Arabidopsis thaliana: one gene and its partners. The protein of the gene in region 1 interacts with the protein of each later gene in a pairwise test. Each region holds a gene or a part of one and is shown on either strand. Other genes may lie near its edges.

Region 1 (7,423 bases):
GGCGGATAATACTTGTTTAGGTTTTTGCGTTCTCCCATAACTTCAGAGCATACAAAGAAGAAGAATCAAACGTTTACCAAAAAAAGAAGAGAAGCGAATCTAACTTCTCTCTTGATATATCTCTATTGCTCTGTCTCTTCTTCTCTCTTGTATTTTTTGTTTGGATGATCCTTAAAAGTTATGAGACATTCTCTTTATATAGCCGAAGATGAAGTTGCTATGTTTCTTCTTTTTTTTGCTTGGCCGACTTATAGAAAAAGGCAAAACAAATAACACGTTTATTTTGTAATTTTCAACTTTTATTTATACATAACGACTTAACGTAAAGTTTTATGCTTTCATCCAGCAAAGAATTACAATATGTTTATCTATAGATCTCACACGAGGCCCAAATTTATAAATTGATGAGTAAACACATAAACTATTTAACAAAATTAGTATTATACTCATAAAAATAATGTTATAATATACATCAATATATATATATATATATATATATATATATATATATATATTTAAATTAAGATAAGAAAAATGTAAATACTTTAAACTAAGAAATTATAAGATATCATGATCGTCTAGATTTTCATTATTTACATAATTTTGATATAGTCGATCACATCGATTTTTCAATACGCTCCAACAAACTCATAGATAGTAACACATGTGAGATTAAGTCCCATGTATAGATAACAACAATCACAATATGTATATTCTTTGTTTTAGTATAGAACATAGGTAATGACAATGTTTTACACTAAGATAGAATATACATATTGTTAGTGTAGCTTTTACCAATGACAACAACACAAGGCGGCTAATAAAAAGCAGCACAATGCGTACATTCAGCTAGGATGGCTCAAAGTCAATGAGAAATGTCAAATATATACGACCCAGGAAAGTAACACTCCAGTACTTCACGATATGTAACAGAAAGATGGAAAAATGATTTTTCACAAATATATCCAAGCTTTATATGCCTAGGCAAAAAACCCGAATCTAAAGAACTGAATCGAATCCGATCCGAAAAACGTGATCCAAACTCGAATCCGAAATTTTAGAATACCCAAACGGATTTTAAACTTCAAAACCCGAAACCGATTTGAATCTAAATCCGATCAAGTATCCAAATATATCCAAAATATATATACCTAGAAATGACTAATTAGTAATAATTACATATACAACAACTTAAGTGCATAAACATTAAACATTTAGATTTTAAAATATTTTATATATTTTTGGATACTTTACCTATTTTCGATAGATTTGGATAAAAAATACTAACGTTTTTTTTAGAAATTTTGTGTATTTTCAAGTAATTTGAATATATTTTGATATAAATCTTAAATTTTGGATATTCCGGATAAACTTGAATTCAAACCCGAAAAACTTGGTCTGAACCCGATCCAAACCCGATCTAAACCCGAAATCTTTCAATACCCGAACAGATCTTAGAATTCTAAATCTAAAATATCCAAACCCAAATATCTTGATCTGAATCCGATTCGAATATCAGACCGCCCAGGCTTACTTTGTAATACAATTATCAAAAATAAGTTTGACCGACCAGCATGGTAAAAGTCTTGCGGTTGCGGTCAAATAACAAGTGTAGGGAAGAGGATGTCTATACTCGCTCTATCTGGACAAGAGACAGACGATGATCAAAGTGTAGAACTTGGAAGTTCCAAGTAAAATGAACATATCTTCTTAAAAGTCTCTTACATCCTCATGATGATGTTCGTTGGTTTTAGCTCCTAAAGAGTTAAACGAAGCTTTGAATTAAAACACGATTAAAAGATGTGAAACAAAACAAAAAAAAACACAAAAAAAAACCAAACACAACAACATTTTTAGTTGTTGTTGTTAATTAATTCCTCTGTTTGGTTTTTTAGTTAAATTTCTCTTACCTTTTGATTAACAATTTTGCTTTGATTTTAGTGTTACAAAGATAAACACTGTAGAGTATTATTATTATTATAGCTTCTTAAAAGAAAAGATTCATCAATTTGTTTATTGTTGTTCTTCAGATTTTTTCTAAATTTTAATCTTTTGTGTTTGTGATCTTTTGTGATGGGCCTCTTCTCTCTGTTTAGGTTTCTCTTTTTCCAATAAAATTCGTCTTCTTCTTTTCTGGGTACCGTCGATTTCTTCCTACGAGTTCGAAATTAGGGTTTTTTTCTTCTTCTTAGGGCTGATTTTGAGGTCGAGTAGTGGGTTCTTAACGAACTTATTCGTTGAATTTCTTTAGGGTTTTCTTTGTGGTCTAGTTTCATAGAGAGATTAGAAGTTTGGTTATGCTATTGAACGATGTTTCATGGACAAGGGTTTTCGAGAAACCGTTGTAATGTTGTGGCAGTTGTTTCTGGAGCAGAGCTTTGCGATACTAATAACCAGATAGATGGAACTTCTCATCAACCCAAATACCCTTTTCCAGATCTCTCTTCTTCAGGGCGTCTCAAGGTAAAAACACTTTTCTAATTCTCGTAATTGATTTGCTAGATTGTTGGTTGAAAGTTGGAACCTTTAGTAAGTTTAGACAATGTTGAACTAAGTTTGGGAATTGTTAGCTGGTGAGAGTTGTTGCTATAGGTTGTGTTGCTTGAGGCCTTTAGAAATTGGTAGACTTGATGGGAGAATCTTGGTTCTAAGTGATTTCTTAATGGAGATGTTAAAGCATTTGGTGTATGCTTTTTTCATGTTGTAGTTTCAGGTACTGAATAATCCTACGCCGGAGGAGTTCCAGGTTGCTGTTAACTCTTCAGCAACGGATTTTGTGTACTTGCAAGGGGAACATAGTGGAGATAGTGATGAAGTTGGTCCCTTAGTGTTGGGATATACTGATTTTTCTACTCCTGATGCCTTGGTTACTCTGTTTGGTTCCACATTACCGACAACGGTAGGTGCATCATTCGTTGTTTTACGTTTCTCGTTTTTAGTTAAGGATTTCCTTTTACGTTGATGCCTCATGCCACTAAGATTTTCTTAATAAATCGCTGTTAGTCTCTTGACAATGTGCTTAAAAGGCTCCATAGAGTATCCTCTACATGAATGTTAAAACATTTTCCATACCTAGTGAGATATTAATATGTTTTGGCATCATATTGTTTTCACAGGTTTACCTTGAGCTCCCAAATGGTGAAGAATTAGCTCAAGCACTCTACTCTAAGGTACACCACTCTTGATAAGCACCTTTCACTTTTCTTCTTATTACCTCTTTGTTGCTCTATTTCACCTAATGGTGATTTTCTTTTGCAGGGTGTTCAATATGTTATTTATTGGAAAAATGTTTTCTCGAAATATGCAGCCTGCCATTTTCGCCATTCTCTGTTTTCAGTCATACAGAGGTAATTGTTTACTCGAGCATCTGACATAGCGACAAGCCTTAATTTTAGTCTGATTTACATCTATATTTTATATAGTTTTTTCCCCTAGTCTACAAATTTATTTGACAGTGATATGCTCTTTGGCAATGCAGTTCGTGCAGCGATACATGGGATGTGTTCCATGTTGCAGAAGCATCTTTCCGACTCTATTGTACAAGTGACAATGCTGTCCTTCCTTCTAACAGCAACCGTAAAATGAATTATGAGATGGGACCTTGCTTGCTTGGAGAACCTCCAAAGATTGATGTGGTTTCACCGGAAGCTGATGAACTAGAAGAGGAAAATTCATTAGAGAGCCTCCCATCAATAAAGATATATGATGAAGATGTTACTGTGAGGTTTCTTTTGTGTGGACCACCATGCACAGTGGTGGGTGTTGTTGACCTTCTCGCGCATTTTATGATACTGGCTTGTTTGTGCAGATGTTAGTATTTCTTTATGCTATCTTCAGTTACAAAGCTTTTTCTCTATTTCAGGATACATTTTTACTGGGATCTTTGATGGATGGACTTAATGCTCTCTTGCGAATAGAAGTGAGTAGTTGGTAGTTTACAGTTTTGATATTTCTTCATTAGTGCGCATACTAAAATGTATGGATGGACTTAATTGTATATGTCTTCTTTTAGTCCTTTTAAAAGAACGTTATTTTTTTATATTGTTCCAGATGCGAGGAAGTAAGCTCCATAACCGTTCTAGGTATGTAATTTCTATAGCCAAATGATATGTTGCGCATCCCTCGAATAACCTTAAGATTAATCATCTATGGTTTTGTGCCTTTTGACTTAGTTTTAAGACGTACTTGGTTACTTTTCATTTTTTTGCTGATCAAAATTGAAACTGCAGTGCTCCAGCACCTCCTCTTCAAGCAGGAACATTTACTCGTGGTGTAGTGACCATGCGTTGTGATGTCTCGACCTGTTCTTCAGCACACATATCAATGCTTGTGTCTGGAAATGCGCAGACCTGTTTCAGTGATCAGGCAAGGGATTATATCTTTTGAAATATAGCTTATCTCTGCATACATGTGCAATGGGATTTATTATTAATCTCCTATGTAAATATCAGCTTTTGGAAAATCACATAAAACATGAGGTCGTTGAGAAGATCCAACTAGTCCATTCAGTGGTGAACTCAGAAGAAACAAAGCGGGGTTTCTCTGAGCCTCGTAGATCTGCCTCAATAGCTTGTGGAGCAAGTGTGTGTGAAGTTTCGATGCAAGTCCCAACATGGGCTCTGCAGGTTAATAATCTCTTTCTTTCCTCGACTTATATTTGTTGTAGATAGTAATCTTTAGCCCAATTATTTATCTCATGCACCTTGTTTCCAAGTTTCTCAACAATTTAGTCAGCCAAAGTAGTCACAAGAGTTTCAGATGAAAAGTTTGTTATGAAATTGTAACGGGTAGAAATAAAGGCTTTTCATGTTTCTTAACGTTTAACTCAAGCTTTGGGATGTCCAAGGACCATTTTTCGTGCTTTATTGCTTTCACTCTTTATTCATGATACTTGTGCATTTTAAGTGATTACATCCAGATAGTCATGTGATTTACATTCTCTTTGGGTTCTCAGGATTTTTTGCGTTTCATGAGTTTCCACTTGCTAATGCGTGACTAAGAAAAGGTTATTTTGCTTTCGACAGGTTTTAAGACAGTTGGCGCCGGATGTGTCATACCGCAGTTTAGTCGTTCTTGGAGTAGCTAGCATTCAGGGGTTGTCTGTTGCTTCCTTTGAGAAAGATGATGCAGAACGTTTACTTTTCTTCTGCGGACAACAGATCAATGATACTTCAAATCATGATGCTCTTTTATCCAAAATTCCTAACTGGTTAACACCTCCTTTGCCAACCAGAAAAAGATCCGAGCCATGCAGAGAAAGTAAGGTACTGTTTCGGATATCGCAGGTTGAAACTTTCTCTCTATACAAAATGTTAATTTGGAATTATTCTTTGTTCATGAGCTAGACTCTATGATTTCAACTCTAATCAGGGATAAGTTTTGTGGCCATACTTCTGCCAAATGTTCATCAGTCTTCATGTATATACTGATTGGATGCTGTGACAATATTTATATTCAGGAAATTGAAAACGGAGGACCTACATCAAGGAAAATCAACGTGGCTGCTTTGAGACCAATACCTCACACCCGTCGACATAAGATGATACCTTTCTCTGGTTACTCTGAAATTGGAAGATTTGATGGTGACCACACCAAAGGAAGCTTGCCTATGCCTCCAAAGCATGGTGCATCAGGTGGCACTCCAGTAACTCACCGTAAAGCTTTCTCTGGTTCGTACCAGAGAAAGCAAATCATCTCACTAAACCCTCTACCTTTAAAAAAACACGACTGTGGAAGAGCGCATATTCAAGTTTGCTCAGAGGTTTGCATTGTTTTTCTTGTGATGAATAGTTTGAACTTATAAACTCCTCTTAACATTGCTATCTCTATATATGTAGGAGGAGTTTCTGAGGGATGTAATGCAGTTTCTGCTAATACGAGGACATACCCGGCTAGTTCCTCCAGGGGGACTAGCGGAGTTTCCAGATGCTGTTCTCAACTCAAAACGGCTTGATCTCTTCAACTTGTATAGAGAGGTAGTTAAGCAATGATTTGATTTTGTTCAACCAAGGCAGCCAGCATTACATTTGGTGAGCTAATAATGAGAGTTGTTGCAGGTTGTATCACGGGGAGGGTTCCATGTAGGTAATGGGATCAACTGGAAGGGACAAGTTTTCTCAAAGATGCGCAACCACACACTCACAAACAGAATGACTGTAAATGATTTTGTTTTCTTGTCTCACCACTTGATTTATTCTTGAAAAATCAGAGAATGTATATCTGATCATCAGCTCTGGGGTTATTATGGCAGGGTGTGGGTAATACCCTGAAAAGACACTATGAGACGTATCTATTGGAGTATGAGTATGCTCATGATGATGTAGATGGAGAGTGCTGTTTAATATGTCGCAGGTACATTAAGAACCCTCTCTCTCTCTTGTGTACACGGTTAATAACGCCTTGTTTGTTAACGCGCTTTGGTTTGGTTTGGTTGAAACAGTAGCACAGCTGGTGACTGGGTGAACTGTGGATCATGTGGAGAGTGGGCTCATTTCGGATGTGACAGAAGGCCTGGCCTCGGCGCCTTCAAGGTAACTAAACGAACACATCGTAAACTCGTAATAAGCATCAATGAATAATATGTGTACTGATGCAACATATGATATATACAGGACTATGCAAAAACAGATGGGTTGGAATATGTGTGCCCAAATTGTAGTGTCTCAAATTACAGGAAGAAGTCTCAGAAGACCTCCAACGGTGGCTTGCTTGTACCTTAGCTTTGTACCTTAGGTTCATGTTTCTTCTTTTGTTGTACTTTTGCCTTGGAACCAAATGATTGATTGATTCCTCTAATGTTTCACGAGTTTTTTTGCAATGCAAGGTTTTTTTTCTTTCCATTATCTTTATAATGAATCGGAGAATGTAAAAATAGTGAACGTTATAGATTTTGCATCATATTTAAGGGACTTGCCAATATCATTTTATCTGTAACAAATGAATAGACATGCAAATAGAACCAAGCTTTGATAAACAAGCTTCAAAAAGGTAAACAAGCTTTGATAAAATAAGTAAATCCCAAATCGTTCACACAGTTTGGGGAAGCAACTGTTTGGTTCTAGAGAGAAACAATTTATGTACATTTACACTTTAATAGAAACGAATTTGAGAAGCGTATATATACAAAGCGTAGTTTGTAATGTGAATGGAGATTACGGGCGCAAACGAGCATAGAGCTCTCGGAGGGCGGTGTACAACGGTTCAGCTGCCTTGGGTTGATCCACCATCCCAAGTAGAATGTCCGATGTGGATAGGTATGGATCACCATAGAACTTTACATTCATGTCCCTTCTTGTTGCCACCAGATTTCCTTCTAGAGATACTCCCACAAATGCCCCTGTTCACACAACACAACAACTTCTCTCAGGTTATAGATTTACATTTCAACTTCCTCTGTATTATTGAGCTACGAGTCTGGCCAAAT
Region 2 (3,681 bases), 7.2 Mb from region 1:
CATCTCCTTCATTGTCTCCATCCATTTTCCCATTCCCCACTACATTTTTATAGTTATCTCTTCAATGTTTAAAATAATATGTCAAAACAACTCTTTATCAAAACTAAATTTTCGTTACTTCTGGTAGTAAGGATATTTCTAAACGTTATCACATTAGTTATTAATCAAACCTGTGAAAGACATGCTAGGTTACTGAAGAATGATATTAGATACTTGTGTACACTCTATTCTACAACGATCGAAGCTAGTCCCACTTCTGTGTCTCTTTCTTTTTCTGTAAGTGTGATTGCAAAATGCGAAATATTCATGTAAGCACAAGAAACAAGATAGTTATACATTCGCATCACTTTGTATTAATAAATTGTTGAGCCAATTTTGTTCTCTATTTCCTTGTTTTGGTCATGTTGAAATTCAACTCTATGATTGATTACACATTCCGGAGAATATTATTTTATTTTCTTTGAACAAGAAAACATAAAAAAAAAAAAAAACTCAACGGGATACTAAATGATCCAACTCACAAATTTCAACAAAATTAAGAAAAAAAATCGGAAAACCTTTTTAGGAGATGGCAGAAGAATTTAATTAACAAAAGGGAGAGAGGCTTATTGAAAAAAATAAAATTAGTAACCTTGCATTTATTTAATTTCCCCTTCATTACTTGTTTAAATTAATAAAACTATAGACTATGATCTATAATGAGTTTATTGCAAATAAGGCATTTGTCTTAGATATATATTTTATTTTAGGCACTTTTGAAATGATCTTTAGATTTAGGCACTTCTTTCCTGGGGAAAGTCGTTTTTACCCTTACAGAGAGATGATGTTGTTCTTTCTTTGTTGATGAACTTTTACGTTTTACACTAGAAATCAAAAATACTTGCGACCAACACCAACAACTTTGGAGTCATTGATTACAGAGTGATGTCAGCGACGATTGGAAATTCAGACGACTAACAATCGGTCCTCATGAGATGTGAATGCGATCTAGATTTTTAACATCCCACATTTTGAGATCTGGAAAAAAAAAACAAGAAACAAAAAAGTCCCACGATTTAGTATTACGATTTGCACGTTTTTTTGTTCAGTGATTTTTGTGCAGGTTAAGGAATTCAAGAAGTGATTGATACTTTGTTGATTGCTCAATTGATGTTCATAATCATGTCTACAAGTACATTGATTTTTGTTCATGTTAATGGTGTTTGATGATAATGAGGATGGTTGTAGTGTTGTGTTATTGTGTGTATGTAAGAATTGCATACTCTATATTTGACGGTTTGGGTTTACAAGTCTAATTCTAGGGTATAGCGTTTACCATTGACGCCGTTCGTTACCCCTCGTTGTCAAAGCCGTGAACCACCACCAAATCTTTGTGCTATCGTCAAAGCTTCATGCCTACCGTCGAAGCTGCAAGTCCACTATCTAAGCCATATATCTTTGGATGTCAAAAGAAACTTAAAATTGAATCAGAGATGGGGATACAATTTTTAGAAGATAAACACATTCTTTTCACCTCATTCTCAACTCCAGTTCATAGTTTAAGGGCAAAAATGTCCGTAACAATAAAAATTGAAGTATTATATGCTTTTACTGTTTAGAGTGTCTGTTTTGAAAGAAATGTTTTCAAAATGCTTGTTTAGAATATAAGCTCGATCTATAATATATGCGTTTTTAAAAAAAGACTAGTATATGCATTATGTAATTCATGGTTAATTAATCCTCTGGTAAGTAAATTAAATAGCACATGCATGTTCAAAGAAAAATGTAGACAAATATATTAAAGTGGATAAATAAATAGAAAAAAAGGGAGTGGTCAGGTCAGTCTCGGTGCATGCTAACTCTATGCACGTTCTCATCTTCGTCTCTTTCCTCACTTACACTAATTCTCTCTCTCTATATTAAACCTCTGAACCAGTGACCACATACATACTCAGTAAGCGAGTCCGAGTCAACAATGGACGTCTACGGCATGTCTTCACCGGACTTGCTTCGTATCGACGACCTTCTCGATTTCTCCAACGACGAAATCTTCTCTTCCTCTTCCACCGTCACTTCCTCCGCCGCTTCCTCCGCCGCTTCTTCCGAAAACCCTTTCAGCTTTCCTTCTTCCACCTACACTTCTCCTACTCTCCTCACCGACTTCACTCACGATCTCTGCGTTCCCGTACGTTTTCAAATTTCAATTTACCCTAATTTTGATTTTGATTTTGAATTTCTAAGTTCTGATTTTGAGTTTTGCAGAGTGACGACGCAGCTCATCTCGAATGGTTATCGCGATTCGTTGACGATTCATTCTCCGATTTCCCAGCAAATCCTTTAACCATGACCGTTAGACCCGAGATTTCATTCACCGGAAAACCTAGAAGTCGCCGATCAAGAGCACCAGCACCTTCCGTAGCTGGAACTTGGGCTCCGATGTCTGAATCAGAGCTTTGTCACTCCGTCGCTAAACCTAAACCGAAGAAAGTCTACAACGCTGAATCGGTTACGGCGGATGGAGCGAGGCGGTGCACGCACTGTGCCTCGGAGAAAACGCCACAGTGGAGAACTGGACCGCTTGGACCTAAAACACTTTGTAACGCTTGTGGAGTTCGTTACAAATCAGGGAGGCTTGTACCGGAATACAGACCGGCGTCGAGTCCGACGTTTGTATTGACTCAGCATTCGAACTCTCATCGGAAAGTTATGGAGCTCCGGCGACAGAAGGAACAACAAGAATCTTGCGTTCGAATTCCGCCGTTTCAGCCGCAGTAAATTTGGGGGTTTTCTTTTCAAGGGTTTTTGTGATTTGGTGACGTGTCGTAATCTTAACGGTGATGATCACGTGACCGACGGGAGGGGTTAAGGACTTAATTATCAGTATTAGTTTAAAGTTTGCAAATCTCTGCTAATTAATTTGTTGGTAATTTCTATTGATTTTTTTCTTGCTTTTGTTTATTGGTCTCACGGCTCTCCTTAAAGTTATATCATTAAATGATTTCATTGGCGGCATTTAATTTTCCTCTTTTCAGATATAAAAGCTTCTCAACCACCATGGACTCTGCTTTTTGTGACTTATGATGTTATATCACACATGACAATGCTGGTTAATCTTCATACATACATCATACATGTTACATGCTTGAGAATTTGAGTTTTTGGCATTTCACGAGGCAATTCAGTTTACTACTTTCTTAAAAAATAGTAACCTAAGCCATACCAAACCTAACTCTCTCTGGTTTAGGCTATTCAAATCTAACAATTTTTCGCTTTATTCCATCTGAACCAAAAATTACCAATACTCTTATACAAAGTGCTTAAACCTCTTATAAATAAACTAAACTGGTTAGGCGGTAACACCGAAACAGAACAAACAAATGATCTGAAAATTGAACCATAATGTGGTGTATAGTGTCACCGTTATTCAAATCCAGAACCCCGACAGACCGAATCCTAATAGAAACCAAAGCAAGGTCTTAACATTAAGATATCGAACCAGAAATACCATACAAAACTAATCTAATTTGGTTAATTTTCCGCTTAAACTATCAACTAAACCAAGCCAAGAAAAAAGAGGATCAAATATATGTATAAAGAAAGACAAAAATTCAAATATCAAGAAACTGCAAAAATGTTGAGGTCAATTGAGACTACTCAAGAAAACAACAACAAAACTCAAAACATGAATGAAACTACTATACT
Region 3 (4,701 bases), on another chromosome or scaffold:
TGCCTGAGGATAAAGTCCAACTTCTTGTGAAAACCAACTGGGAGCCAGTGCAGCCACTCATTTAGTCCTCCTTTAGGCCTTGTCACTCGCTTGCATAAAGAAAAAGAGATAATCTCAGCTAACCAAAAATCATGTTAAATGTAAATTTACGTGAATGTCGAGTCTATGAATGATCAAGAAGCTAGAGAAACCAGACACAGCAAAACAGCCTTATATGCATCCAAACTGATCTAAAAGAAGCATTAAAGACTCCACTACCAGTGTTCCTTGTAAACGAAATTCAGTAATTGCACCAGCATCATGCTCCACCAATGATTCAATTCTCTTTAAGATTTACCAAAAAAAATTATAAATAAAACTGACAATATAGGTAGTTATGACACCCCAAGAACCTTCCACTGTTTACCCTAAATTTGCAGAACTTGAGATATTGGCAAATTTACATATTTACCAATTCATTGTTTCCATAAAAATTCAAATAGTTCCTCCTTCTCTGAACATTCATACACTCTAAAGAAGTACTAAACAATATGAAATTTCCACTCCTACTTAGACTGAGACCTAACAAGCTAAAAACCTAGAACACACGACGAAACAACAAAGTAAAAGAAACTCCTATCCAAAAGCAATCATCAATCTCTCAACTACATCATGCGCCTAGCAAAAACTGACGAGAATTTCGAGTATAGTATCAATGGTTTATAGTCGACGAAATGAAAGCACTAAGCAGATGCTAAAAACGTCTAGAGCCTAGATCAAAGAAACTCACGTAGAGAAGGTGATTATCAGATAAGCCGAGCGCACGAACGAGACCGATACACTGATTCTCGGAGCCAGGGAAACCGTTTCCGATGACGACGGCGCGTCTGACGACGTTATGGGAACCGCCTTGTTCGAAAATATCAGGGACGCCGGTAGATAGACTGGGTGGATCCGGCAATAGGATTGGCCTCATGCCGGTTAGATTATCGATTCCGATTCCGATCAAAAACCCTAGAGGAACCACACCGAGATTTGGGGGGATTGATCTCAACTCCGTAGAGAGAAGGTCGTGGTGCTTTGACAAGTTGCGAAAGGTCACAGAAAGAGAGATTGTTTTCCTTTTCTCCTTCAAGAGATTGTCTTTACGCTAAAATTTGGTATAACAATTAACAAAGGACAAATTTAAGGTCTTAAACGAATTTTTTGCTAATCAATAAAACTAATTTTGTCAATACAAAACATACAATTGTTTAAAAAAAAAGAAATTGTATGGTATTTTAAAAATTTTGATTTTAGAATTTGAAGTTTTGGAATTTTGTTTTGTTATATGATGATTAAAATTAAAATTTCACCGATAGTCATCCAAAATTAGAATAAAACACTATTTGTCACATAATTGCTGTTTTTCTAATTGTCTATTCAAATCTTATGAACCTCTTCGTAGGCCCAATATGTAGAATTTGATTGTTAAAAGGTGAAGCCTTATCTGGAAAAAGCCCAACTGTTATTGTTCTTCCTGTGCCTCGTTTTGTCTCGGTCTAACTTTTTTACACACGACTTTACCAATCATAGTATTCAAAGAAATCTAGCGATCTCAAGACTCCGAGTGTCACGATAGAGAATATGAAATTGCAGAAATGATTCAATATAATTATATATCTTAGCTGTTGTTAACACGTTAGATGTTGAGTTTAGGAAATTAATTTATTGGGTATTTTCATACTATTATATTCATAGGTAGCTATAACGATGATAAGATAATTTAATGTGTGCAGGTTGTAAACAGTTAGGAATATGAAATAATTCAACTATATATTATAATCATCTCGTGGAAAACAGGATCGATTGCACATGATTCATTGGAGACAAGAATCGTTAAGGTGTTCACACATTACGTGTCTTTGTTATATTGGGGTTACAAAGATGCATTCATATGATGTAGTATTATCTTGAGATCTCCAGAAAACAAACCGCATTTGAATCACAAAATGGATCTACCACCCAAAATACTACCAACTCACAAATATCCTTTGACCATTTCGACTCGTTTTGTTAATGATTCTTGTAAAGGTTGCAATATAAAAGGTCCCATCTATGGCGGCTACCGTTGCAACGAGCCTTCCTCTACTAGTTTGTTCTTCCACAAAGAGTGCGCAGAGGCTCCACCGGAGATTATCAACCATCCTTCTCATCCTCAACACACTCTTAAACTCCACAATTCTCTAAGGAACCCATGTAAATGTAATCTATGTGGCAAGACTTTTTTCGCTTTTGGTTATCGTTGTTCATCAAAATGTGACTTCATCGTGGATCTCACTTGTGGGATAAATCCATTGCCGGTTTCTATCGAACATCCAAAGTCTCATCATCATCCAGTTATCTTCTTGAAAGAACCCGCAAAGCCGGGTAGGCGCAGATGCGGAATTTGCAAGGGCTATAATGGTGGATGTTCTTATGCATGTCTTGAATGTGAAGTCCACTTTCATGTCGAGTGTGTCAATCTTTCCCAAGAGGTGAATCATCCTTCTCATCCTCAACATTCTCTCAAGTTACTTGAATATGAATCACTAACAAGTGATGCTGAAGAGACATGTCTTTTATGTGGAGAACGACCAGACAAAGTGCTTTATCGCTGCTCGATATGCAACTTCAGCGTATGTCGATTCTGTACAAAAGATCCACCACCACTTGCTATCGAGCATCATAAGACGCACGAGCATCGACTTGTCCTCTTATCAAGACTCATCTCATTTGAATGTAATGCTTGTGGGATGCAAGGTGATCGAAGTCCTTACATGTGTGTTCAATGCGGGTTTGTTGTCCATAGAACTTGTATTGACTTACCACGTGTCATAAACATCAACCGTCACGATCATCGCATCTCTTTCACCCATCATCTCGGTGTTGGGTACTCGAGATGCGGTATTTGTCGCAAAGATATAAGTCAATACCATGGGGCTTATTTATGCCCTCGTTGCCCGAACTATGCAGCTCATTCACTATGTGCAACAAGAAAAGACGTATGGGATGGGGTAGAACTCGAAGGGACACCAGATGATGATGACGAAGATATTGTGCCGTTCAAAGTGGTGGGTGATAACTTGATCAAGCATTTCAGTCATGAAGAACATAATCTAAGACTCAACAAGGACAATATCAATCGTGACGAAGGCTCACGTTGTGAAGCATGCGTCCTTCCTATCTATTCCGATCCGATCTACAACTGTGAGGAATGTCGTTTCATTCTCCATGAGAAATGCGCTAATCATCCAAAAAAGAAACGACATGTATTCCACACAAAACCATTCACACTATGGTCCAGACCACCTCGTACATTCCATAGCAAAGATTTTAGATTCTACGATGTCTTTCGCTGCTATGCTTGTAGAACGAAGTCTACTGGTTTCAGGTACGTTTCTGATTGGTGGGTTCTAGATGTACGTTGTGGTTCGCGTTCTGAACCGGTCATTCATGATGGTCACAGACATCCTCTATATTACGAACATAAGAAAGATCACTGTTGTGATGCATGTTATAAAGAGATAGATGGTTATCTGCTTTCCTGTGACACTTGTGACTTTGATCTGGATTTACACTGTACTGATTTACCAAAAACGGTAAAGCACAGCTGCGACAATCATCCTCTTTCCCTATGCTATGGCGAAAATGCAACCGGAAAATATTGGTGTGATATTTGCGAGGCGGAAACAGATCCAAGTAAGTGGTTCTACACTTGCTCTAAATGTGTGGTTACTGCACATATTGAATGTGTGCTTGGAGACTTTTCACGTCTCATGCCAGGACGCATCATCAACTACAATAATGTTAGAGTTGAAGTGGTTCTTAACAGCTATAGTTCTCGCCCCTTCTGTGCAAAATGTCACTCCAGATGCAGAGCTCCTATCATTCTAAAGCTTTGTGATCCATATACTGGATACATTTGTTCCGATGCATGTGTAGTGCCCGACTATCAATACAGCTAAGACAACTATGTAGCTGTTTATTTCACTCTATTGTTTCTCGTAATTTTTTGGATGTAAGAGTTTATTTCCAACTACAAGTGCTAAGCATTCTGGTTATATTCATACTGTGTTCATCAGTACAGGCAGGATTAAACTGTATCGATGACATATATAAAGTCGTAACAAGTTATGACAAACTTGCTAAAAAGGTAGTAGCAACTAATATGATTTAGTTAATGAAAACATAGACAGAAATGATGGAAACAGATATTTGTGAATCAGAAATGTTATTAAACAAAGATGAAAACTGAAGTAATTTTAACAACAAAAATAACGAATATGTGATGTACATTGCAAATGCAAAAATTATAAAGACACAGCGGATAAAGTTTTGGAAATACAGAGAACAAACTCACTCACGTGACTAAATCTAAAAGACAAGGCAAGAGTTCAATGAACCTCTGTATCATTTTGATTTTGACATTTACAAGAGTTACATAAGCAAGGAGGACCATGACATGTAACTTCAAACTCACAGTCATTTTCATGACAAAACCAAGGCTTCAAATCGAAATGATGCGACTGAGTTGATTTACAAAAACAGTGGTCCGTTTCAGTATACCTTAGATAAGGCCGCCAGATTTTAAGATCTGCATGATGGTAAAGTGATTCCTCCGCAGAAAGATGCGATTATTATGTACAGCAAGAAAACTATCAAGCATGTCAACAAGACCCTGCCGAACACAAACAAGAAAAG

What was found. The genes of interacting proteins can lie anywhere in the genome.
Region 2: the proteins of AT3G43240 (region 1) and GATA4 interact in a two-hybrid assay, tested with the Arabidopsis thaliana proteins (one large-scale study listed by BioGRID).
Region 3: the proteins of AT3G43240 (region 1) and AT5G22355 interact in a two-hybrid assay, tested with the Arabidopsis thaliana proteins (one large-scale study listed by BioGRID).

What each region holds. Positions count from the first base shown.
Region 1 is NC_003074.8:15,209,328-15,216,750, reverse strand, and holds AT3G43240 (ARID/BRIGHT DNA-binding domain-containing protein), read left to right. Parts: upstream 1-1,803; 5' UTR 1,804-2,310; coding exon 2,311-2,463; intron 2,464-2,707; coding exon 2,708-2,899; intron 2,900-3,116; coding exon 3,117-3,170; intron 3,171-3,258; coding exon 3,259-3,347; intron 3,348-3,478; coding exon 3,479-3,755; intron 3,756-3,862; coding exon 3,863-3,919; intron 3,920-4,050; coding exon 4,051-4,082; intron 4,083-4,229; coding exon 4,230-4,365; intron 4,366-4,451; coding exon 4,452-4,625; intron 4,626-5,024; coding exon 5,025-5,264; intron 5,265-5,458; coding exon 5,459-5,761; intron 5,762-5,837; coding exon 5,838-5,975; intron 5,976-6,056; coding exon 6,057-6,155; intron 6,156-6,250; coding exon 6,251-6,351; intron 6,352-6,439; coding exon 6,440-6,530; intron 6,531-6,611; coding exon 6,612-6,719; 3' UTR 6,720-6,920; downstream 6,921-7,423. Other genes in the region: AT3G43250 (coiled-coil protein (DUF572)), read right to left, coding at 1-38; AT3G43230 (RING/FYVE/PHD-type zinc finger family protein), read right to left, coding at 7,152-7,336.
Region 2 is NC_003074.8:22,371,394-22,375,074, forward strand, and holds GATA4 (GATA transcription factor 4), read left to right. Parts: upstream 1-1,619; 5' UTR 1,620-1,954; coding exon 1,955-2,164; intron 2,165-2,241; coding exon 2,242-2,754; 3' UTR 2,755-3,161; downstream 3,162-3,681. UniProt on the Arabidopsis thaliana protein: Transcriptional activator that specifically binds 5'-GATA-3' or 5'-GAT-3' motifs within gene promoters. May be involved in the regulation of some light-responsive genes.
Region 3 is NC_003076.8:7,399,792-7,404,492, forward strand, and holds AT5G22355 (Cysteine/Histidine-rich C1 domain family protein), read left to right. Parts: upstream 1-1,915; 5' UTR 1,916-1,970; coding exon 1,971-3,965; 3' UTR 3,966-4,181; downstream 4,182-4,701. Other genes in the region: ELM1 (fission ELM1-like protein (DUF1022)), read right to left, coding at 1-89, 770-955; VAMP714 (vesicle-associated membrane protein 714), read right to left, coding at 4,588-4,678.